Diceros bicornis minor: one gene and its partner. The protein of the gene in region 2 interacts with the protein of the main gene of each other region in a biochemical or structural test. Links are inferred from orthologs where the notes say so. Each region holds a gene or a part of one and is shown on either strand. Other genes may lie near its edges.

Evidence for each region.
Region 1: the proteins of CEBPB (region 2) and CEBPG form a complex in vitro, tested with the Homo sapiens proteins (2 studies listed by BioGRID and IntAct, with this or other methods). The link is inferred for Diceros bicornis minor from reciprocal best matches to the Homo sapiens genes CEBPB and CEBPG.

The regions. Positions count from the first base shown.
Region 1 is NC_080773.1:7,001,740-7,014,039, reverse strand, and holds the start of CEBPG (CCAAT/enhancer-binding protein gamma), read right to left. Parts: upstream 5,546-12,300; 5' UTR 5,391-5,545; intron 5,061-5,390; exon of another isoform or gene 4,644-5,060; intron 1-4,643. UniProt on the Homo sapiens protein: Transcription factor that binds to the promoter and the enhancer regions of target genes. Binds to the enhancer element PRE-I (positive regulatory element-I) of the IL-4 gene. Binds to the promoter and the enhancer of the immunoglobulin heavy chain.
Region 2 is NC_080758.1:11,902,514-11,914,674, forward strand, and holds CEBPB (CCAAT/enhancer-binding protein beta), read right to left. Parts: upstream 5,427-12,161; 5' UTR 5,031-5,426; coding exon 3,987-5,030; 3' UTR 3,398-3,986; downstream 1-3,397. UniProt on the Homo sapiens protein: Important transcription factor regulating the expression of genes involved in immune and inflammatory responses. Also plays a significant role in adipogenesis, as well as in the gluconeogenic pathway, liver regeneration, and hematopoiesis.

The DNA of each region.
Region 1 (12,300 bases), on a different chromosome or scaffold from region 2:
ATTTTTTTAATGACCTCAAATGATAGTAGTGTACAGAGATTTCCTAAGTCAGTTTCTTAGATCATAGATTTAGGAGCTCTGAGACACCCAATTTGCTTCCCTGTCCCACAACGCTTCTAATCATGTTTTTTTCTTCTTGACATGATTAATAAACACATCTAAACACAGTCAACCTGAAACCACACGGAAAGAAACAAAAGCCCTAATGATGCATCCAAGGAAGCCCAAGTACTCGAACTCAGGCTAGACAAAGAGCCCGAGCAGCTGCAGTGCCCGCACCCCCTCACACTGCTGAGGGAGCTCAGAGCAGATGCCAATTCTGAAGTATTACTGTAGTGCTGCTTGTAGAAATGAGGTCACATTTTCAGAAACTAGTCATATTCGGATTACTTTGAATCCAACTAGGTCGCTACAATTGCCTCAAGATGTGTCAAAAGCATATCTATCCTATAATCACGAGGCCACTTCAGGACATACTGACTACAATGAGTGAACCATGTCTACCAAGAAGTCATAGCACTCTTGGAAATTTAGAAAGCAGTGTTATGAACCATAAAACTATTCTGTTCTCTTTTCACAAAACTGCTAAAACTACATCAGTGGAAAAAACCTGGAGCTGAAATGCCTCAAATGAGTATATCTCACATTTCTTAAGAAAAGCTCAGTTAATAAACACTAGTAGCTTCACCCAAACCTTTAGCCAGGCATTTCTGTATAAACACTGTTTATTGGTCTGCTTTTATAAAATGCTTTAAAAAGTGCATATATCATTACTTTCAATTGGTTTTAAAGCCATGCAGGCAGCCCTGAGCTCTAGTGGGTCGTCTGTGCTCACTCCAGTACTGAGGCAAGACAGAAAGCTTCCTTGCAAACTGTGATGGAGATCCACTCCAAGTCTATCTATCTTCAGTAATGGACATTTCACAATTTCTCTTGATCATTTATTCTGTTGCCTATTTTTCCTTCCAGTTAAAAAGTGGCAGTTCAGTATTAATTTGAACCACCCTTACTACTAATAATGTTGGTGGCCATCTACATTATTGCTTATCTATTTGGTGTAAAGTGAAGATGAGTGTTTTACCCAATTTTTAAGAACTTGTTTAATTTAATACCTCTCCTGGGATCGTCTCAACAATCATGATCATATTCATCTTATTTATCTTATTTTTCATATACCAATTATGTTTTTAGTCTTTAAAGCTAATCTCTACAGTCAACTCAGAGATAACAAAGATCCAGAGAAGCACAGAACAGGAACTAGGTCAATCCTTGTCTTGGCTCTGGCTTGCCCTCTTTCACTTTGGACACATCCCTTCCCTTCTGTGGGCCTCCATCTCCTCATCTGCAAATGAGGGCTGCTGACTGGTAAGAGGCCTTCTGACTTGGACAATACACCATGAACTTCAGTCACTAAAATCTCATATGACAGTCCCCAAATTCAGTGATATGCATGCCTGTTTTTGTACCCAAAGACACAGGAATACGGAAGGGCTCTTTTACCTCAGTCTGACTCATCTTGCCAAGGTACTAGGCTGAATATAGTAGGCGAGGTTTCGAAAATGAGCCCTCTGGCTTGAAAAATAAAGAGTACTCATCAAACTGGTAAAAATATAAGGGGACTTGCAGATAATACAAAATACTCTTGGAGATAATAAACTTACAGATAATAAAAATGTTTAAAAAAAAAAAAAAAAAAGTTCTTCAACCAAAGACAAGCCAAGAAAGTAGCTCTTAAAGTGAAGAGATAGCCATAAAGGAACATGAAGCAAGTACAGGGGGTCAAGAAGCTAAGTCGCCTAAAAGACTTAACTCCACATGGATTATCAATTTGGTTTTTACACTGAGCAAATAGTTGCCTCCAAAAGTTACACATTGTACAGTTTACACTGTCATTTGTGCTTCTGTTCCTTCCACAAACATTTATTGAGCACCTCCAGTGAGCAAAAAAATAAGTTTATTTCAAATCTGTGTATTCAACCCTAAATGAAAGTCTGGCTACTATGGGGACAAATACTATTCCAAAGTTCAGTCCACAGGAAGCAGGGTGGCACCCTGTTTCCTTGCATGTGAATCATTCAAGCAGGAAGCAGTAGAAAAACTGAAGAGCAGTAGTTCTCAAAGTGTGGTCCCTGGACCAGCAGCAGCATCATTTGGGAACTTGTTTGAAGTGCAAATTCTCAGGCTGGCCCAGACCTAGGAATGAGGAGCTCTAGGAACAGGGCTAAGCAATCTTGTTTTAATGGGACCTCCAAGTGATTCTGATGACACTGAAGTTTGGGCACCACTGCTACACATTAACAATGGATCTTAAGAAAGAAGGCCTGAGTGGGTAACATTTTTTTTAATTCAAATTTCTTAATCTGAGTAATGTTCATGCAAATCAAGAACACACTGAAAACTCAGAATGTTAGAATGAGTAAAACAAAATCAAATTTTTCTCAAATTTCATTTGAGATAATAAACCTGTCAAGAATTTTCCTAACCCTCTTTACTTTTTTCACATATGTACAGATATTCTTCCCCCAGCCCCCCAAAATAAATTTTTCACTCTAATTTCCTCAGTGAAGATCTACATTCCAAAATATTCATAGATGTTTCTCCCTTGCTCCAAATCTGTTCAATCATTAGTATCTGACAATTCTACCCACCTTCCCCCCCCCCCCAAAAAAAACATCCACCATCCCTCTCCATCCCACTGCCACAGAATTACCTCAGGCTGACATCATCTCTCAGGGGCACTAGTCTCCTCTGGTTTAGCAGTGTTCCCTCCAACCACTGTCTCCAGAGCAATCTAGCACTCAAACCTGAGTGTGTCACAACCTCTTGCTGAAAAGTCTTCTGTGGCTCAGGCATAGAGGATCAAATCCAAGGTGTTAACCTCTCTCTAGCCTCTGCTCCCTTATACTTCACACCTCAATGATACTAAACCATTATCAGTCCCCTAAATGGTCTGTGCTTTCTGTTTTCTTTGTGCTTCTGTCCAATTTTCTTCTGTCCCCAGTTTCTTTGTCAATGCCAGCTCTACAGTGTATCTCCCTGTAGACTAAGCTGGAGGCAGGACTCTCGTCTTCGCCACATGCCCAGCATCTAGTGCAGAGCTAGGTGTATATAGTGGTGCTCAACAAATATTTGCTGAATACAGGCTCAAAAGCCTAAGAGAAAACATTTATTTTTATAAATGTCATATAAAAATGAGACTCTCTAGCATTGAAATCTCTTAAAACAACCGCAATTAAATCAAAAGAGTGTTACTAAGATATTATGGTCTTGCTACCTAAAGTTTTTGGTCTTTCTTAAAAGTGTACAGAAAAATAAAAATAAGTTCTATTTGCTATTAAGTCCCTAGTCTGTACAGTGAACATCATTCGTGTCTGGTCTTTGCTTCATTTCAGTTTAGAACCTTTATTTTCTACTTAGCCCAGTTATGTTCTCCAATTAATAACCTCAAGTTCTTAGGCATGTATGGCAGGATCTGCCAACTCTGTACTACAAGTGAAGTCAAGGTAAGCAAAGTCAACAGACACCCAAACGAGCAGGATTTCTATTCAGTTGCCACTGCTTGCTTCATGACCCAAAACAGGGGTCCATGAAGGAGGGTACATCCCTTCAGGGAATACATTAAGTGGTCCACTGGAGTAGGAGAAAAAAATGTACATTCAGCTTTTTTTAATGTCATCTTTCTACTTTTGGTGTGATTTATAACATACAAAAAAAATAATACACACACATTGTTTATAAATATACAGTAGGCGGTCATGGTCAATTTTCATTTTTATTTTTATTTTTTTTTACTGACAGGGCTGGAAAGCCAAAAAGGTAGAAGATCAATGTACCTACCAGTACGAGAACCCACAGAAGCACCTCCTCCCCAAAATACACAATAAACCTGGAATTGTGACTTCCTGCATTTACCATTACTGTGATCAGGTGAGGCAAGCTTAGGCCATAAGACCATATTCAGCCCCATGAGGTCCTATTTGTCTTTACCAGGGACTCATCACTTGCTGTTTAAATCTCTTGGGATGAAACCACCTGTCCATGATCAGACAACCTCGCTAACAGTCATGATGTACTCTTGAGAATTTAAAGCATAATCTGAAAAATGAAGTTTTGTTTCCACCTATGTTTTTAGGGATATTAAAAAGGACTGAATCAGCTAAGTGCAGCCACCAGAAGCAGGAATCAAGAAACTGAAAAATTCTTCAGCTCACTAGCATCCTGTAACTATTTAACCTTGTTTACCGTAAGTTTTTCCAGAAACAGAGAATCAACTTTCAGAAGAGCTTATCCCAAATACTACTCGAAGGGTAACAGCTGACCAGATTTTAACTTTTAAGTATCAAGAACTTTTAGATGCAGAATTTCTTAGTAAAGCAAGCCCTTATAGTATTTTATTGCCAAAATTTCTCTCGGAGTTACATATCCTATCTGAATTAAAAGACAATCTCTTCAAATAACGATTTGACAGAGCGTAGGACCGACTGAGTGTGGGCTCCGAGGAAGAACTACCAATTTTTGTGCAACCCACCAATGTTAAAATCTTTCTCGAAGTGACACATTTTAAGATGCCAGATTCCAGCAGAAACCTCAGGAGGCAAACCACATACTTAAACCTTCCGTAGAACAGAAACATACAAGCTTACCTGTAGGAACATTCTATCCTTCCCCCCAAACACGCATGTGCATCCTCTCCATCTAGACACCTCTGCGAGCTATTCTCCCGTGTTCCCTCCAACCGTGCTAACGAGGCGCTGCATCTCTCGCCCTCCTGTTTCCCATTCACCCGTGGGTGCTGCACGTTCATCTATCCTAAGTTCAACAGTGAATTGCAGGATATTCAAATTACAGCCCCAGAAGAAAGCATATTATTATTTCTGTAAAGTCTTGTATTTAAAAAGCAACTTCTTCCCCTCACTACTTGCTCCTTCTAGTACCTTCTGAACACAATCCCCCACCAGCCCGCATCGAGCAGCTTCGTGGGGGCAGGATCTATCCTACGTGCCACTCAAGTGGGATACGGTCCCCCTTCTGCTATTCTGGGAACACCCTTTATCCCCAGAGGCCAATACGAGCCCCGTCACAGCCGGACGGCACGCAGGGCCGACTTCCGGAGGGGCACACCTCGACTCCCTCCCGTCCGGGCCGGCAGCGAGGGGCGCCCGGGGAGCGCGGGGGTCGGCGGGCGGCGCGGCGGCGCTGGGCCGCGGCCAGGGATGAGCTCAGCGGCCCCGCCGGGTGTTGCCGGCAGGTTGCATCAGACGCCGCGCGGGGCCGGCCCCCTCGGGCCGGGCCGGGTCTCCTCGGGCCAGGCCCAAGCGCACGCAAGCGGCCGGCTCCGCCGCGGCCTCCTCCTCCCCGTCAGCTCGCCCGCCCGCCCTCGACCTCCTTACCTGCGCCTCCAGCCCGCCCGCCCCCAGGCGGCCTCCACTCCGAGCGGCCCCGCGCGCCGCGGCCCAACCCGAGCCAGGCCTAGTAGCCTGCGAGTCACCGAGGACAAGCGACGGTTACGAAACCGGCAGCCTCCGCCCGTTCCGCCGCCGCCGCCACCGGCTTCCCCTCCTCGCCGGGGCCGCGCGCGCTGCCGCCGCCGCGTCAAGGACCAATGGGAGCGCCGGCCTGCAGGCGACGCGCCCGCCCCTCGCGACAGGCAGCGCCGCCAGCCAATCGGGAGCGGTCTGGCTGCGGGAGGCGGGCACGTGGCGGAGGCGTCCACCACGGCGCAGCGGAGTGGGCGGATGTGGCGGGAGGTGACGGTCTGCCTCGGCGCCGCCCGGGGTTCCTGCGCCGTTGGAGCGGGGCTGCGGCCCGGAGCTGTGGAGACCCGCGGCGAGAAAGGGTCTGTCAACGTTGGAGGCAACACCTGTCTTTGGAAAGCACCATTTCCTGAGGTGGTGTTTTGAATCAGCGGTTTCTGTTTTGGTTTCCCCACGGCCTCGGGGAGCCCCCTCGGCGTCCTCACGGGGACAGTTTCCCGGGACGTGGGGCACCCAACGGGCCCGCGCCCTCGGAGGGAGCCTGCAGAGAAGGCCTGGACCTCACAGCCGTTAAGGCAACTGCAAACTTGTTAAAAAACGAACGAAGCAAAATCTTCCCAACGTAGTATTGATGTCACGTTGGCGGACACTGCGGACTGTGGTTCGCTGAAACGGGGAAACGAATGGAATTTCCATGATCGATTCCCCTGTGCTGTCTTCCAGATTGAGATGTGATCTCCAAAAATGAATGGCAATCCCGCTTTATTTATCCAAGATAATTCACAGGCGGATCTGAAAGCGCTTTAAAACCAGGAAGCAGTGTGCTGGGTAGAGGACAGAGCCGGCGATAGGTTTGATTGCTTCCTCTTGAGCAACTCCTGTTGTCCAAAAAATAGAGTCTTTGAAAGAGGAAACGTTTCTTCATCGCCCAGGCCATGGCACCAGCTCTCTGCATAGGACTGTTTCGAGGAATCATAAAGAGATGATAAAACATTTGCAAAAAATAAAGTAAAAATAAAAAGGGCTGCAACTAAAAGTGAACCACGATGACCATAGAAGCACACTTGCTGGAGTGACACAATATCATCAAAAGCAGCATGTTTCTTTCACTTTGGCCCTCAGTGTTCTTAGCTGAAATTTCTTTGATCAAGATTTTAGCACTATTAAAGTTGGATTATATTTTGTTGCTCACAAAATCATAATTTTACCCTCACTATTTTCTAATCTCTTAAAAATTGTATGGAAAAAAATCATATTGGTATATTCATTTATCCTCTAGTTTGCTAGCCACTCTGCCAAGCTGCTCTAGCATTTTCTGTGTCTATCTGGACAGGCCGCCTTCCACACTCAGCAAGTCTAGCCAATGCCAAGGAGACTAGAGTGTTTATTTCCTCTTCAACTGGTAGCTGGTAATTCTTTCTTCTCAGTTTACAAATATTTATTTGGTGCCAACTATGTGCTAGCTGTGGGCCAAGTGCTGGGGATTCAGCAATGAACACAACAAACACAGTCCCTGCCCACATGGAGCTTACACTTAGAGCCAAGGGAAGCAGACATTCAGTAATGACACAATTTTCTATAACCATTTTCATAGATACTACAAGAAAGACGTACACAGTGCTGTGAGAGATTATAAAACGGGATCAAAACCTGGTCTATGGGTCAGGGAAGGCCTAAAAGATGAGTGGAGTTTGGCTCCGTGGCACAGACGAAGTGGATGTGCCAGTCAGAGGGAATGTCTTATCTAAAGGTCTTGTGATGGGAGAAATGTAAGGCCAGAGTGACTGAACCACGGTGTCCCCGTTAGACTGTGAGATAGGCAGGGCCTAGAAGCGTTCTGATTTTTACCATAAGAGAGATGGAAAGCCATCTCTTAACTTGCTCTCCCCATAAAGAAGTGAGGAGAGTCTGGTGGAGGCTATCTCCAGGTTGAGGAGATCCACCATATTGCTTTCTTGTAAGTCACAGGGACCCAAGCCATCATAATAAAAGAAAAATTTCCTGCAGAGATCTCTGCCTCACTGATACCCAATACATATTCTACAAATCCAAAGAATTTGTAAACAAGTAGTACATTAAAATCCCCTCCAAATGACTTGAGAAGTAGGATGTCCTATTAACTGAACATGCTAGTGACCTGACAGCTACTATGATTAACGACCTTAGTTACCTAAGAGGTATGGACTCTAGTGTCAGGCTATTCTGTCCACAGCTTCACCTCTTACTGGTTGTGTGACCTCAAACAAATTACTTGACCTCTGAGTCAACTGTGAATGGGGATAACAACAGTATCTACCTAATAGGATTGCTGTGAGGATTAAAGGAGTTAATATGTTAGGCTCCTAGAACAATGCCTGCCTGGTCCATGGTAGGAGCAAAGTGTTAGCTGTTAATACCATGATGCTCATATGTGAATTATAAACAAATTATATCCATAGAATTGTAGTAGACTAAAATGAACTTCAAAACAGGGTGCTTAACATTGCTTTGATGATTCAGGCACTGAAATATACACAATATTGAGGGTGTTGATGCTGACCCTTTGGTGTATCCCAAAAGATGTTTTTTAGAATAGTTCTTTTAGTTGCCACATCTTATCATTTCATTTGTTTCTATAAAGTAGAATGGAGGAAAAATTTAATAATTTGAAATCTCTTGTTTGAAAGCCAGATCAATAGACAGTTACTATGCAAACAAGTATTTGTCTTAAATGTGCCTTAAGTACTTAATGATAATACTTAGGTATCTAGCATAAATGTGTATTTGGAAAGTTTCTGAAAAATTAGTATACCAAATTAACCACCTTTGACAGGAGATCTGGACCATGTCTATAATATTTTGAGAATTGAGATGATGTCTGTCACAGGTTTGAATCTCAGTAGATATTGATTGTGTTATATTAGCAATAATGTGACAGTGATTGTCAATCATTCTGCATTGCTTAGGGTTCTTTTGATTGGAAGTAACTGAAAACCATCCCTGACTAGCCTTAGCGTAAAGAAGGACATGGTCAAAGGTTATAGGACACTCTTCATGAAGTACCAGGCCACATCAGAACCAAGACCTGAAATGCTCAAATGTCTTCATGTCTGTCTCTGTCTCTCTGTCTCTGTGTGTGTATGTGTGTGTGCACATGCCTATTGGTTTCATTATTCTTTCTGCTTGCTTCTTTCTTCACATGGCCAATGACATCCTCAATGTTCACAGCTTTGGTCACTAGAGAAAGGCCAACTAAATCCCTTTCTAAGTTCTTGTTACAAAAATCCTTAGGCAAGGACTCTGGGATTGGCCCAGCTGAGCAGTGTGCTCATACCCGGAATGATCAAATAACCGGGAACAAATCACGATGTACTAACATGGCAGCTACGGAGGGGATGGCAGAGGCACTTCCCAGAGGAAAAGAGAGTGCTGAGCAGACGAATCCATTAATATCCATTTCAAATGTCAGATCACACTGGTCACTCTAATGGATCCTTAGTCACCCTGGCTGACTGATTTGTTCTTTCCCACGTGATATGATCCCTATCTTGAGGGGAAAATTTAAACCTCCAATTTTACCTTTAGAAGCACTATTTGGAATCATAACAGCTAAGATGCTAAATAGTTGTCTTAGGACATTTCCAAATTTCAAAAGCAGGTCCTATGCATGAAGAGAAAAATCTGACATAGCTTAAACTTGAACAGTTAGCAAATACTGTGAATGTCTATCATAAAGCATTTTTCCATGTGTCAGATTTTGTTAGCCTGTGAGTTAAGACATGTCATCTGTGCACTTAAGAATCGTACTTGTCATCTGTGTGCACAAGGATAGATGTGTACCATGTGATTATATGAAGACAGTGCAGATCATCCACACACATGAGGAGAGCTACATGCATCTGTGCACATGAGGCTAGGTGCCTGTCGCCTGGGCATATAATGATAGGTATTCGTCATCTGTGCACATAAGAGAGGGGGTGACATCTGTGCACATCAAGAGAGGTAATCTGGATCTTTTGTGGGCCCAAGAGGGTCTTATTATCACATATCTTCACTCCACAGAATAAGCACTAATTACCTGTTACATAGTTATTGTAATGCAAATTATTCCAGTGCCTATGAAGTACCAAACCAAAGATAAATGAGGTGGGGTTTTTTTGGTTTGTATATTTGTGATATATGTGACACCAGTCTCCATCATGGCAGTATGATGGGCTTTGGAGACAGAACAGGGTGATGTTGGCTAGCATTTAACCTAGCCAACCTAGGTTTAACCTGTTCCTCATCTGTAGAGAGGGTTGACAGTAAATACCTCATAGAATTGTTACGAGGATTAAGTAAGTTGACATGAAAAGAAGATCGCATAGTGCCTAGCACGTAGGAGGCACAAAATAGTTTGTCCATCCAAAGAGAATTTGTTACCTAGGTCCCCGTTCTTAGTTTCTAATACCATTCTTTAATAAAAGGAACTGAGCTCCTTGGAGAAATGGCTGATTCTAGGATTGAGGCAGGAAATATACAGGATAAGCCTGGAGCATCTTGCAGTACCAGAAAGTAAGGAAGTACTCAAAAAGCAAAACAATGGTGGTATGTGCCTTAGGTCAGGCTGCTATAACAAAGTATCATAGACTAGGTGGCTTAAACCACAGAAAATAGCATTCACCCTCTTTGATCTTCCTCCCAAGAACTCAAAACCCCAATCAAATGAGACAAACACCAGACAAATTCCAATAGAAGGCTGACAAGTCCAAGATCAAGAAGCAAGCAAGGTAGATTTTATTCTGAGGCCTCTTCTCTTGGTTTGTAGGCAGCCGCCATCTCCCTGTGTGCTCATGTGACCTGTTAGTGCGCATGCGGGGAGAGAGAGAGAGCAAGCTGTCTGGTGTCTCGTCTTATAAGGGCACTAATCCCATCAAAAGAGGGCCTTCAGGAACTCATCTAACCCTAATTCCCTCCCAAAGGCCCCATTTCTAAATACCATCATACTTGGGATTAGTGATTCCTTCAACATAGGAATGTAGGGGGGGCACAAACATTCAGTCCATTATAGGATGTCAAAGAGTCACAGGACCCAAATGAAAGAGCCCCCAGCACCCAAAGAGCCCCCACGCCAATTTGAGGGGCAAAATAAATAATGTAGTATTGCATCATAATCCAAAGTATAAAATAAATATCCCTGAGTCCATGTTGATATAAATAAATGATTGAGTAAATAAATAAATGTCGGAGAAGAGACAACTCTCCCATGTAGAAGAATTCCAAATAATCTATGTAGATACTCCACCCTCAGATGGAGGAGCGTAACTCTCCACTCCTTAAGTGTAGGCTGCACATGGTGACTTCCTTCTGAAGAGCAGAGCATGAAAGGGAAAAATAAAGAGGAACTGTACAGTGGAGAAACCTGATAAATGCTACTTACTACAGCCAGGTGATCAAGGTCAATTTCAATAGTCATAAACCATGTTGACATAATAAGATGAAAATGTCACTTGACCTCTTTGATCTTCCTTCCAAGAACTCAAAACCCCAGTCAAATGAGACAAACACCAGACAAATTCCACTAGAAGGGCATTCTACAAAATACCTGACCAGTATTCCTCAAAACTGTCAAGGTCATCAAAAACAAAGAAAGTCAGAGGAAATGTGACGGTCTGGAGAATCCTAAGGGATGTGATGACTACATGTAATGTGGTATCCTGGATGGGATCCTGGAACAGAGAAAGGACATTGGGTAGAAACTAAAAAAAATCAAATAAAGTATAGACTTTATTTAATTTATTTGATAATGTATAAATATTGGCTCATTAATTGTAACAAATATACTAATGTAAGATAATAATAGGGGAAATTGGGTGCAGGGTAAATGGGAAATCTCAGCACTATCTTCTCAATATTTTGCAAATCTAAAATTGTTCTAAAAATGAAGTCTATTTAGGAAAAAAAGCATTTGAGGTGCACTGCAGTGTTAACATTCACTTAAAACAGGACACTTTAAAGCATTAACAAATCAGAGTAAGCCCAGACTTGAGCCAACTCAGTAAAGAAGTTGAGCCCAGCAGAAGAGCCTTGAGCCCCACTTCTTACCTTGACCACTGGTGGTAAATGTGCTTCCGCCAGGCGGACCCAAGACGTCCAGAGAAACGGAGCCAGAGAGGGGAGCAGAACTACAGGAGCTCCCCCAGGAGGAGAGAAGAGTGGGGAAGAGGGAAGCAGCGGCGGAGGGAGACCACTTTGGGGCTGCAGGATGATCCAGAAGCCCGGAGAGCCATCTTTGGGCTATGGAGGAAGCCCCATCCTCACGTTAAGGTCTAGATGCCAGGTCAATCGCTGGAAGCCGCAAGGCTGAGGTGAGAAGGAGATGGGAAGCTCCCCAGACAGAGGGATGTTGTTGTCCCACTTACTCATTCTTGCATTCTTTTTCCTCTGTCTCAATCAACTGATGTTTATTGAGTCTCTACTCTGCACCAGGCACTGTCCCAAGTTCTGGCAGTCCTAGGGAGCAAGGCACTGGGGCTGGAGAGGCAGGGGGCTGGGGCCCAACAGATGAGAACAGGCCGAGGAAACACAACCAGGCTGGGTGGGCCTGTGGGCCACAATTCCTTGGCTTGGAGTCAGGAATCTGTGTCCATTTCTAGGCCTTTGTCATTGTTTCTTCTGTTCTCATTTTATTTTTCTTTCAGATTCCTATAGTAATAAGCAGTTCTTGTGTGAGCCTAAACTGGAATTCAGATTTCTTGGGCTTGGTGGGTGGAGCCACCAGCATCCATGCACATAAATGTTGGGTTTGGGGCTGGACGAGAAAGGTGGAGTTTGTTGTTTTCTTTTTCTTTGCACAAGTTTCTGAGGA
Region 2 (12,161 bases):
GAAAGGAGCTGAGCGTGGGGCTCGGACAGGCATGGATCCAAACACCAACTTGTCTACTTTCTGGGCAAGTGATGTCCCCTCTCAGAGCCTCAGGTCCCCACTCTATGACATGGGACTCCTACCTCCTGGCCTCAAAGGGACCCAGGAGGGGCTCAGACTCTGACAGGTTGTAAGCCCCCTGAATCCCCGCTCACTCTGGGCCCCCTCCCTCCCCTGCATGTGGCCACAGCCAGTACGAGGTTGAAAACCCCCAAGAAGGTGCGGCCAGCTGGCCAGCTGGGGCCACAGGGTCTCCATCCCAGGTCACCCAGCACGTCAGCCATGCTGAGAAAGGATTCCAGGTGGGGGTTGGGGGGCCGGACAGGGAAGCAGAGCAAATGAGCGGTTTGGGGCCACGGCGGAGGCAGGAGAAGGACTCTCAGGTTCAGATCTCACATGAGTCACTCACCAGCTGTGGGGCCAGTGACTTCATCTCTCTGTGCCTCAGTTTCCCCAACTGGGGAGGGGGGTGATAAGCAGCACCAGAGTCATTGGATTGTTCTAGGGATACAAGGCCCGGAAAGCACACACGTGGTGTAGAGCTGGCGCTCGACGAACCGAGGCCCGTCCCCCTCACACCTCACCTGCTCAGGTGTCTGCTCAGATGCCACCTCCCCGCCACTCCCACCCACTTTCCTTCCTTCAGAGCCCTTGTCCCCAGCTGTCATCATCTTGTTCAAGTTACTGGACTTAGTGTCTGTCTCTCCCCATAAATTGTCACCTCCATCTGGGTCACCACATGTCCCCAGCACCCCGCATAGGGCCTGACACACAGCAGGTGTTCAATCAATGCATGTTGAATAAATGAGAAAAACAACTGGACAAATAAATCTCAGAAACAAGGACAAAACAGTCCCAGGAGGTCTGGACGGGAGTCTAGGGGAGGAGGACACGTTCTTTAGGTGTTTAGATGGGGAAGTCCCTCTTCTCTTTCTTACCCCAATTTCTACTATTCTTAGTTGTGCAGCATCGGACAGGTCACTGCCCCTCGCTGAGCCTGTTTGCAGGGCAGGAAAACACCAATAACGAAAGCCCCGGCCTCCAAGAGGCTGATGAGCCAATTATAGTAGCCAGCACACCCCCGGCCCAGTGTCTCCAGCTTTCATTTCTGACACCCACTTTCCCTTTTGGTAAAATCACCAGGCCATGGGCCACTGCATAAGACCATGCGGTGTGAACGTCTTCTCACAACTCGCCCATCCTGAGCAAACATGGCCTGGGGTTCCCAGCCAGCCTCAGTGGTCAACCCACTAAATGGGCCTGCGGTTAACACGACCAGCCTTCTGGGGCGGACGGAAGGATCGAGCAGGTCCGTCTGTGCCAAGGCCTCGGAGTGGGGCTTTCTTTGCATGTCATAAGCACTGAACTCGCATCCACTATTGTTCCTCTTCCTCCAGGTGCGTCTCTGGCCTCCTGGGCCCCTCTAGTGCCCCTTTGCCCCCTCCTACCCTCCCAACTTCTGAATGGTCTGGTCCCCCCTCCTCGCAAGCCTTTAGCCCTCCTAGCCTACAGATCCGTGGGGTGGGTGTCCCCCAATCTATGACATCTCCCCATGTCTTTGGGCACAGCTCCGTCCACAGTGCTCCCATACCAGGCAACCCAGGCCACCACGAGAGCCCTCGACCTATTAACCATTTTTCCCAGCCTTTTTCAGGGGCCATCAGATGGGCTTGGGTTCAAATCCCCTTTCTGTTGCTTCCAAATTGGGAAACAGGGCGCAAGTCACTTAACTCTGGCGCTGGGGGCGCCTGAACTTGGGGCTGGGCAAGGAGCCCCCGCGCACGGCGCAGGACTGGGGGCAGGGGCTGGGGTTACAAACCAGACTCCCGGCCCCCAGCTTTCCCGGGAGACTCGGGAGGCGGACTCAGCTCCCTAACCCGCTCCACCCCGTTCCACCCTGGGCACTAACCCCACTTCTGTGGGCTCAGTTTACTTTTGTGAAATGGGTGTAACACCCTCCACGAGGCGCTTACGTCGATTCAAGCAGGCTGTGAGTGTGTAAAGAGCGGCACTCAAGGCTGGCTCCGAGGCAGCGCCAGGAAAGGGGCGCGTGGGGGTCGCTCTTCGGCTTCGGCCTGGCTGCTCCCCGCTCAGCTCCTTTGTGTCTTCTGCAAAATGGGTGAGCGGCAGCCACGAGGCCACTCTCCGTGACAAAGGGGAGAGCGGGACCGGAGAGATTCCTTCCTCTGCTGTGACCCTCCGCGCCCCCCAGAAAGACTGAGTCGCCCCCTTCCCCAGGTCCGGCGCCCAGCCCCTGCCCTCCAGCAGGTAAATCCGAGGGGCGGCTGAGCCCATGTGCTGTCGCGGGTACTGGGCTGACTCCCAGGGAAAAATAATAACAAGAGCAAAGGCTTATATAACACCTCCTGCGTGCCAGGCACCGCGGCCGCCGGCCGGGGATCCACCAACCCCTCCAACCCCCGTCGACATCCTCGACTCTCAGGAATGCTGTCCGGGGCTGGGACGGGGGTGGGGGTGCAGCGCGGGGGCGCGGGAGCGTATGGGGGGCAGGGAAGCAAAAGCCTTACCCCGAGCCGTTTCTGTCCCAGGGACTCAGGGACAGTGGCCCCGGGCTCAAATCTGAGCTCAGCCACCTTGAGCAAGCAGGCGAGGCCGGGCCTCGTGTCCACATCTGGAGAGAGGACAAGTGGTAAATGTCGGGTCCCAAGGAAAGGGAGCACCCTTCCTCCACCTCCCTCCACCCGGCCCAGCTTCTTCCCTCCCGCCGGCCAGGGACACACACACCAGCCAGGGACACACACACACACAAGCTCGCCCACGCACCCAGCCTCCTCTCTTAAAATATATACACACACGCAAAGTAGTTTTTAAACAGCCCGCCCCACTACACTTACCCAAAGAATCTTCTCCAACCTGGGCTCAGCAGGACCAAGACCTGTACCCCTCCTCCTACATAACCCGGCCTGCCTGACTGCTCCCCAAACACCGTGCAGAGGTCACAGACCTCCAGGCCCCCCTAAACCCGAGCCTGGCACTCAGGACCAGCCAGAGGTCCCCGACCCCTCCCCAAGCAAGGTTCCCAGGCTCTCCTCCCCAGCACCCCGGGGCGCTGAGTCACCGCGTAAGCCTGACCCAGCACTCCTCTGCCCCTCCCCCCCAGACCTGGTACCCCCATCTCCAAGCACAGACCCGGGGCGGAGAGCAGCAGAGGAGGAGAAAAACCAGCTGTAACACCCCCACCCAACCCCCAAAAAAGCCAAAAATAATAGCAGCCCACGCACACACACAGCAACCCCCGACACACCAGAAAAGCAAAAATAAAACCGTATCAATCCAAAACAAAGAAAAAAAATCAAAAGCCAACTACTGCCCCCAAAAGGCTTTTTAACCATTCTCAAAAAAAAAAAAAAAGTTTATTAAAAGTGTTCTTAATGCTTGAAACGGAAAAGATTCCCAAATATACAGACGCCTCTTTTCTCATAGAAATAGATTATTTTTTATAATACAAAAAAAAAAGACCAAAAAACAACAACAACAACAATAAAAACAACAGCAACAGCAACAACCCCGCAGGAACATATTTAAGCGATTACTCCGGGCCCGGCTGACAGTTACACGTGGGTTGCGTCAGTCCCGTGTACACACGCGTTCAGCCATGTTTAAGCCGATTGCATCAACTTCGACACCGGCCCGCCCGCCGGCGCCTGGAGAGGGGCAGAGGGACAGGCAGAGTTCGTCATTCATCTGTACACATAGACATTTCTTCTTTAAATAACACCGCGGGCGGGCGCGCCCTCTGCGCGTGCGGCTGGTTTGGACAAAAATATAGATATATATATAATAAAATATTAAAGTTACCGACGAGCTCCCCGCGCCGCCAAGCGCCCCAGTGCCCAAGTTCCGCCGGCGCCACCAGGGCCGGGGCGCCGCCCGGAGTCCCGGCAGCGCGGGGGCCGGCCGGCAGGGGGACGCGCGCGGGGGCCGCGCTAGCAGTGGCCGGAGGAGGCGAGCAGGGGCTCGGGCAGCTGCTTGAACAAGTTCCGCAGGGTGCTGAGCTCGCGCGACAGCTGCTCCACCTTCTTCTGCAGCCGCTCGTTCTCGGCCGTGAGCTCCAGGACCTTGTGCTGCGTCTCCAGGTTGCGCATCTTGGCCTTGTCGCGGCTCTTGCGCACCGCGATGTTGTTGCGCTCGCGCCGGATCTTGTACTCGTCGCTGTGCTTGTCGACCGCCTTCTTGGCCTTGCTCTTGACCTGCGAGGGCGCGGGCGCCGCCCCCGCGTAGCAGGCGGCCGGGGGCGCCTTGGCGTCGGCGGGGCTCGGCGTGCCGGGCGGGCTGGACGACGAGGACGTGGACAGGCTGCCGCTGCTGCCGCTCGGCACCGCCTGGTAGCCGAGGTAGGCGCGCAGCGCGTACGGAAAGCCCGCCGCCATGCCTGCGGCGCCGCCGCCCGGCGCTCCGGCCTCCTCCTTCCGCTTGCAGTCCGCGGGCTCGAAGCCCGGCTCCGCCTTGAGCTCGGCGGGCGGCGGCGGCGGCGGCGGCGGGGGCGGCGGGTGCAGGGGCGCGAAGCAGCCGGGGTGCAGCGCGCCCTTGGCGGCCCCCAGGCGGCCCAGGCTCACGTAGCCGTACTCGGCCGCCTTCTTGCAGTTCTTGCCCCCGTAGTCGTCGGAGAAGAGGTCGGAGAGGAAGTCGTGGTGCTGCCCGGAGGAGGCGGGCGCGGGGGCGGGCGCGGGCGGAGCCGCCTCGAAGGTGTCCGTGGCCGTGGCCGGCGCCGGGGCCTGCGGCGCGCCCAGCGTCTCCAGGTACGGGCTGAAGTCGATGGCGCGCTCGTGGTCGCCGATGCTACCCAGCTCGCCGGCGGGGGGGCGCGGCCCGGGTCTGGCCGCGGGGGGCGCCACGGGGGCCGCCTTGCCGCCGTACGCAGCAGCCAAGCAGTCCGCCTCGTAGTAGAAGTTGGCCACTTCCATGGATTTAAAGGCAGGCGGCGGCGGCAGGGGGAGACATGCTGGGTCCCAGGCCACCAGGCGTTGCATGAACGCGGGTGCCCGGGGAGGGGGCCTGGGGCTGCCCGCTCCGGCCGGGCCGCAGGTGGCGCGGCCTCCCGGCTCCGATGTCGCCGCGGTGTCTCTGCTGCCGCTGCCGCTGCCGCTGCCGCTACCGCTGCCGCCGGGGTGGCCGCTATTAGTGCGGGGGCTGGCGGCTGGACCCTCGAGTGGGTCCCCTTCCCGGTCCCGTGCGCGGCTCTGACTCGCTAAAGTTTCTCCAGAGCCCGGTTATTTATAAAGGCGGACCATGGTAACGGCTGCGTCACGCCTGGCTGACGCCCCGGTCCCTCCCGCCGCCGCCGGGACGGGGAGGCCGCGGCCGTGGCCGCCCGAGACCCCGGGAGAGAGGCGGCGGGGCGCGGCGGCCGGACCTGAGCCCGGGAACGCGCCCTCGGGGGTCCCCGGGCCCCGGGGGGCGGCCTCACGCCCCCGGCCCCCCCACCCGGCGGCCCCGGGATTGGGAGCGAGAAGAGGAGGCGCGACCCCGCCCCCGGACCGCCCCCTCTGGGCTGGAGGCTGTCCTGGAAGGGCGGAGAATCCGGGGAGGGGGCGACGCGATCGCTTTCCCCGACCCCAAACGCGGCCGCCGCCCGCCCTCTGCTGGACGAGGCGCTGGCTTCAGGATCGGCGGCGCCCAGCCCCGACGCCCCGCAGAGGGGGCGCTCCCCACGCCGGATCCTGGACACTCCAACCCCAGCTCCGGCTCCTGGAGGGAGGGGATTCCACGCCTGCGGCGACTTCCCTCTTAAAGCCACCTGCATAGGAGAAGGGGTGGGGGGGCCGGTTAGGGACGCACTGGGGCCTCTGCCCACGTAGTTCGCGCCCTTCCCCTAGCCCCGCCCACCGCACCTGCCCGCCCCTTTAGGGCACACCTGGGTCTTGTGCAGCCCCACCCCGCTCTGACCTGGGGCCCGGGGTGCTCCGCTCTGCCACACGGTGTGAGCGCGGGCTAGTCACTTCTCTGCGCGTATGTCCACGCAGGTGTCCTTACTGTTATCAGTTGTATTAGTCTCCTCCGCAGACTCCCAAACATAAGGCTGAAGTTTTAACTCTACTGGGAGGCACGGCAGAAAGAAGGGCCCCCCAGAGGGTACAGAGAGGCCCAGAGGGGGCACAGCACCCCCGAGGTCACATGGCCTCATGTCCCCCATTCGTCTCAAAGAAAGGCACTTGCCCGGACACCCTAAGACCTATTTGCCAACGCCAGGCCGAAACTCCTGTTTCTGAGGCTGGTGGGGAGGGGGCCACACAGGAGAGATAAGGGAGTGCCCCCATTTTTACCCACTCCCTACTGTGCGTCGAGGGTGGGCCTAGCTCCGGGGCTCACTTTTCACCCTGCCAGGAGGGGGCTTTGCTGCCCCAGGTTCACAGGTGGGCAATGGGCGATGAGCCTTCCTGGACTTGAAAGTATGCTCTCCCTCTCGGGCCCCATTCCTGGGCCATTTGGGCAGCTCCTTGGGCCCCCCTCTGCCACTCCCGGCCCAGGCCGCCCAGGCAGGAGCTCCCAGCCAGCCTGGGGCTGACCCCCGGCCCACTGACCCCAGCCCTGGCCCTGGCTGGCAGGCGGGCATTGCTCAACCTTTGGCGTTATCTGCTGAGTAGGGGTGACCTCCGCCCCGGAGAGCTGGAGAAATGACCGCTCCTAGCGCCCTTGGGGGTGGGAGGCAGGGAGGGACGGATGAACCACTGTCCTGGCCTGCTGGCTTTCTGCACCCTCCCAGCAGCCTCTGGGCCAAGGAGGGATCCAAGGCCCCAGGGCCACCCAGCCAGACCTTCCAAGCTGCAAAGTGGGACATTCAGGGCTGAGCTGGAGGGACACCGCCTCCCAGAGGCCCTCCCTGCCCCATCTGCAGTGAACTTCCTTCCCAGCCGTATCGCTGCTACCATTATCCTAGTCGTCTTGTCTGCCTCAGTCTCCCCACAGACTGCTCGCTCCGTGAGGACGGGCCCTCAAATACTGGAACTCCTGGGCCGGGCGTGCCCAGAATTTACCAGTGAATGAAGGCATTTGCTGTTCCCTCTGGACCGAGAACACTGTTCCCCCACCTCTGCCCACGGCAGCTCCTCAGGGCTCAGCCCAAAGGTTCCCTCCTCCAGGAAGCCCTCCCTGACCTCCCCATCAAAAGTCCCAGGCCCTCAGTCATTCCTTCCACACCCCCCTGCTTTATTTCCTTCACATTCTCATTACGATCAAAGTTATCTCACCTATCCGTCTTGCTTTCTGTCCCTGTTGCCCCCTCCCCACGGCAGACCCTCCAGGCAGGGATTTTTGTTGTTTTGTTCACTGCTGTTCCCCTGGTGCCTGGAACAGTGCCTGGCATACAGAGGGTCCTCAATGAATGGAGGAGGTTGAGAAGAAGGTGAGGTTCCCCTGTTAGCTGGGCTGTGTGACCTCAGGCAAGATGGCTCCCCTCTCTGAGCCTCAGTACCCCTCACCTCTCAGGGTTCTGGGGAGATGCAGAGATCTGACGGTGGGGGGTCTGGAGCTTATTGGAGGATTTGCTGTGTGTCCTCAAGCCAATCTTCCACTGTCTCTGAACCACATTTTAAGCTCCTTGCATGTATTGACTCATTTAATCCTCCTGATAATTTGTGGAAAGCAGGTCCTGTTATTATCTCCACTTTACAGATGAGGAAACTGAGGCCCAGCTGGGCTAAGGGTGCCTGCCCCACACCCTTAAAGGTGTGGGGAGGACTGAAGTCTTTCCAGCCTGACCTTCCCCTCTGGGTTTGTAACAAGTCATAACAGGTCTGGCGGTGTGAACCCCATTTTCTGAATGGAAAAACGAGGTCCAGAGAAGCATGGCCTGGGTCACACAGTGAGTCAAGGGGCAACCCAGACCCTGGGGGCGAGCCCCAAGGACCAGACGCGGCCCCCCAGCCTCTAGGGTGGTCCTCACCCGCCAGACACTGAGGCTTTGCTCCCCCCTTCCCTGCCCAGGAGTCGCCATCGGCCTGACGAGGACTCTGGCGGTTCCCACCTGCTGCCACCCCAGGTGTCCTGCGGGGAGGCAGCGTGCACGGTGACGTAAGCCCTTGTTTTTCCAAGGCTCGTTGCTCAACAGGCCCTGCCTGCCGCCCCAGCACGAACGCTCGGCCTTGCCCCGAGGAGGGGTGATGGATGGAGGCTGAGCTCCTGTGGCCCAGAGGCCAGAGCACACCCTGGTGGCCTGCAGGCAGCGGAGCCCAGAAACCAGGATCCGCCCGCCGCCACCCACGATGACCTCTCCCAGCTACCGTCGGCGTAGGTGTTTGTAGGAACCTGTTCAGGGAAGGGTCGCAAACTGGCAGCCAGCAGCCAAATCCAACCCACAGACGGGTTCAGTACAACCCCATGGTGTTTTGCTTTTTTTTTTCTTTTTAATGATTTTATTGCCAACATTTAAAAATCGGGAGACTTCACATCAAAATTCAAATTTCCAGCTTCTCTTTTAAAACCAGAAGCCGTGGGCTGGGCCCACGTGGCTGCGAGTGGTGGGCAGGAGACAGACGGGGCTGGGGAGGAACAGGCGCCCTCCCACCCGGATACCCGCCCTCCTCTGCCCCAGACTGCTTTCAGAATTCCTTCCCCCAGTCTCTGCAGCTGTTCCTTAGCCCCATTTTCGGGAGGAGAAAACCGAGGTGACTTGCTCAAAGGGAGTCCCATTGTTGCTCTTTGACGGAGAGTGGTAAAAATGTTTGCAGAGGGGATTAGAAATCAGCCAGCGAGTAGAAAAATAAGGCTGAAGGGGGAACCATTGGAGATGGTCCATGGAGATGCCTCTGGAGTGGGGGGACCGCAGGGTGGACTTTTGTTCAGCTCTGTGCCCTCCTGGCTGTGGCACTCCGGGGTCCTCCCTAGACCTCAGGCCCTGACCTATAAAATGAGGATAATGATCTCACCTCTCTCGGGTGTTCTGGGCCCTCTGGGCCCGCTGGCCCGCCCCAACACATGGAAGTGAATCAGACCTCCCCTTAGCCCCACAAAGGGCCTGACCGCAGCAAGTGATGAAAAACTCACCAAGCAGGCAGATGGGAGACAGGCCCAGAGAGGGCTAGGACTTCCCTCAAGACCACAGTGCTCCACTGGCAAAAGAGTCGGACTTAAAAGCCAGGTCCCCTGATTCCAATGTCTGGGATTTTCCCCACCACGCCTCTTCTTTGAGGCCTCACTTTCCCCATCTGCTAAATGGGGCCAAGATTAGGTCCCCAAGGGCTGCCAGGCCCCAATATCCTGGGATCCAGAATTCTGGCGTCCTGGGAGACGCTAGGGCTGACTGGTGAAACTTGCCTGGGCATATGCTGCCCCCACGTGGCAGGCTCTGGGAATGCAGGCTTGCTTTAAACGAATCCTCTTGGTTGAGGACCTACTGGGTACCTTGCTTTGTGATACAGAGGTTGGCACTATGGATATGAGAGATGCTCACAGGACACGAGCAGGCCACTGAAAGACATAAAAATGTCCCGCAAACAGACAAAAAAGTGCTCACTTTCACTTCATCATTCCCCCAAATTTTTGGCATCTATCGTAGTTCAGGCCCTAGAGACAGAACAAGACATTCATGAACGAGACAGCGCGATTCCTGTTCTCGTGGAGCTAACATTCCCCTTGGGGAAGACAAACAATAGACAAGATAATTGAGTAAAGTATGCATTGTGTTAGATTCTAGTAAGTACCATGGAGAAAAATACAGCAGAGGAGGGGGATAGAGCGGGCTGGGGGATTTGATTTTAACTTCAGATTATAGTGGTCAGGGGAGGCCTCACTGAGGTGACATTTGAGCAAAAACATGAATGCATGAGGGAGTAGGCCATGCAGATATCTGCGGGGAGAGTAGCAGGCAGGGGGAACAGCAAGTGCAAAGGCCCTGAGGGAGGAGCATGGCCAGCCCTGTGTAGTTGTGGGTGGAGCAGAGGGAGAGTGGCAGGAAATTATCTCAGAAATAGTGGGCCCATATCATGCAGGGCTTTGTGTGCCAACCTGAAGACTTTGGAGAGTTCTGAGCAGAGGAGGGACAGGAGCTGACTTAGGTTCTAACAGGTCCCTTGGTCTGCGTGGAGGGGTGGGCTGCGCTGGAGGTAAGGGCAGAAGCAGGGAGCCCGTGAGGAGGGACCGCGGTCATGCAGGTAGATGATGGTGACTCCCCCAGGGTGGTGGGCGTGGAGGCGGGGAGAGGTGGTCAAATTCTGAATCTGTTTTGAAAGGAAAACCTTCAGGATTTGCTGATAGATCCAGTTATAGATCAGCCACACAAGGGACCACCACGCAGCCATTTAAAGGGACAAGGTATATGACACCAAGAACTGGCAACAAAAGACAAAATAGATAAATTGGACTACATCAAAGTTTAAGACTTCTGTGTGTCAAAGGAACGATCGACAGAGAGCAAAGCAGCCTAGAGGATGGGAGAGAATACTTGCAATCAGGTATCTGAGAAGAGACTAATATCCAGAATATATAAGGAACTCCTACAACTCAACAACAACAAAAACCCCAATTAAAAATGGGCAAAGGATAGGACTGGCCTGGTGGCGCAAGTGGTTAAGTGCGCGCGCTCCACTGCGGCGGCCCGGGGTTTGCCAGTTTGGATCCTGGGTGTGCACTGATGCCCTGCTTGGCAAGCCATGCTGTGGCGGCATCCCATATAAAGTGGAGGAAGATGGGCACAGATGTTAGCCCAGGGCCAGTCTTCCTCAGCAAAAAAAAGAGGAGGATTGGCAGATGTTAGCTCAAGGCTGATCTCCTCAAAAAAAAAAAAAAAAAATGGGCAAAGGACTTGAACAGACATTTCTCCAAAGAAGAGAGATGAATGGCCAAGAAGCCCATGAAAAGATCCCAACACCACTAATCAGTAGGGAAATGCAAATCCAAACCACAATGAGAGACCACCTCACACCCCTTAGGATGGCTACTATCAAGAAAAACAGAAAGTAACAAATGTTAGTGAAGATATAGAAAAATTGGAACCCTTTTGCACTATTGGTGGGAATGTAAAATGGTGCAGCCACTATAGGAAGCAGTATGGCAGGTCCTCAAAAAATTGCAAATAGAACTACCATGTGATCCAGCAACTCCACTTCTAGGTATATACCCAAAAGAATTGAAAACAGAGTCTGGAAGAGGTATTTGTACACCCATGTTCATAGCAGCATTATTCACAATAGCCACAAGGTGGAAACAACCCAAGTGTCCATCAGTGTATGAATGGATAAACAAAGTGTGGTCTATCCATACAATGGAATATTACTGAGCCTTAAAAAGGAAGGAAATTCTGACACCTGCTACAACATAGATGAACCTTGAGGACATTATGAACCTTGAGGACATTATGAACCTTGAGGACATTATGCTGAGTGAAATGAGCCAGTCACAAAAGGATAAATACTGTATGATTGCGCTTATATGAGGCACCTAGAGTAGACTCAAAGAGACAGAAAGTAGAATGGTGATTGTCAGAGGCCAGGGAGGGAGGAATGGGGACTTGTTTAAGGAGTATAGAGTTTCAGTTTGGGAAGAAGAAAAAGTTCTGGAGATGGATGGTGGTGATGGTTGCACAATGATATGAATGTTACTTAATGCCACTGAACTGGACACTTAAAAATAGTTAAGATGGGGGCCTAGTCCGGTGGCACAGTGGTTAAGTTAGCACGCTCCAATTTGGTGGCCCGGGGTTTGCAGGTTCGGATCCCGGGCGTGCACTGACGCACCGCTTGTCTAAGCCATGCTGTGGCGGCATCCCATATAAAGTGGAGGAAGATGGGCATGGATGTTAGCCCAGGGCCAATCTTCCTCAGCAAAAAGAGGAGGATTGGCATCGGATGTTAGCTCAGGGCTAATCTTCCTCACCAAAAAAAAAAATAGTTAAGATGGTAAATTTTACGTTACATGACTTTTACAATTTTTGTTTAAACGACAAGGTCGATCTTCATACAACGTCATGGAAAGATGCCCACTGACGCTGTGGCGTGAGAGAAGAGCAGGGCAGAGCAGTACCCTGGTGGAGTGGTGTTTGTCTTGAAAGCATTCACCATTAGCTAGAAAATCTGTTTGATTGTGAGTTCCACACAGTGTTGCTGAGGTGTGGGGAAATTGGTGCTCTTACTCGTAGTGGCTGTGCAAAGTGGGAGCGCCTCCAGCTG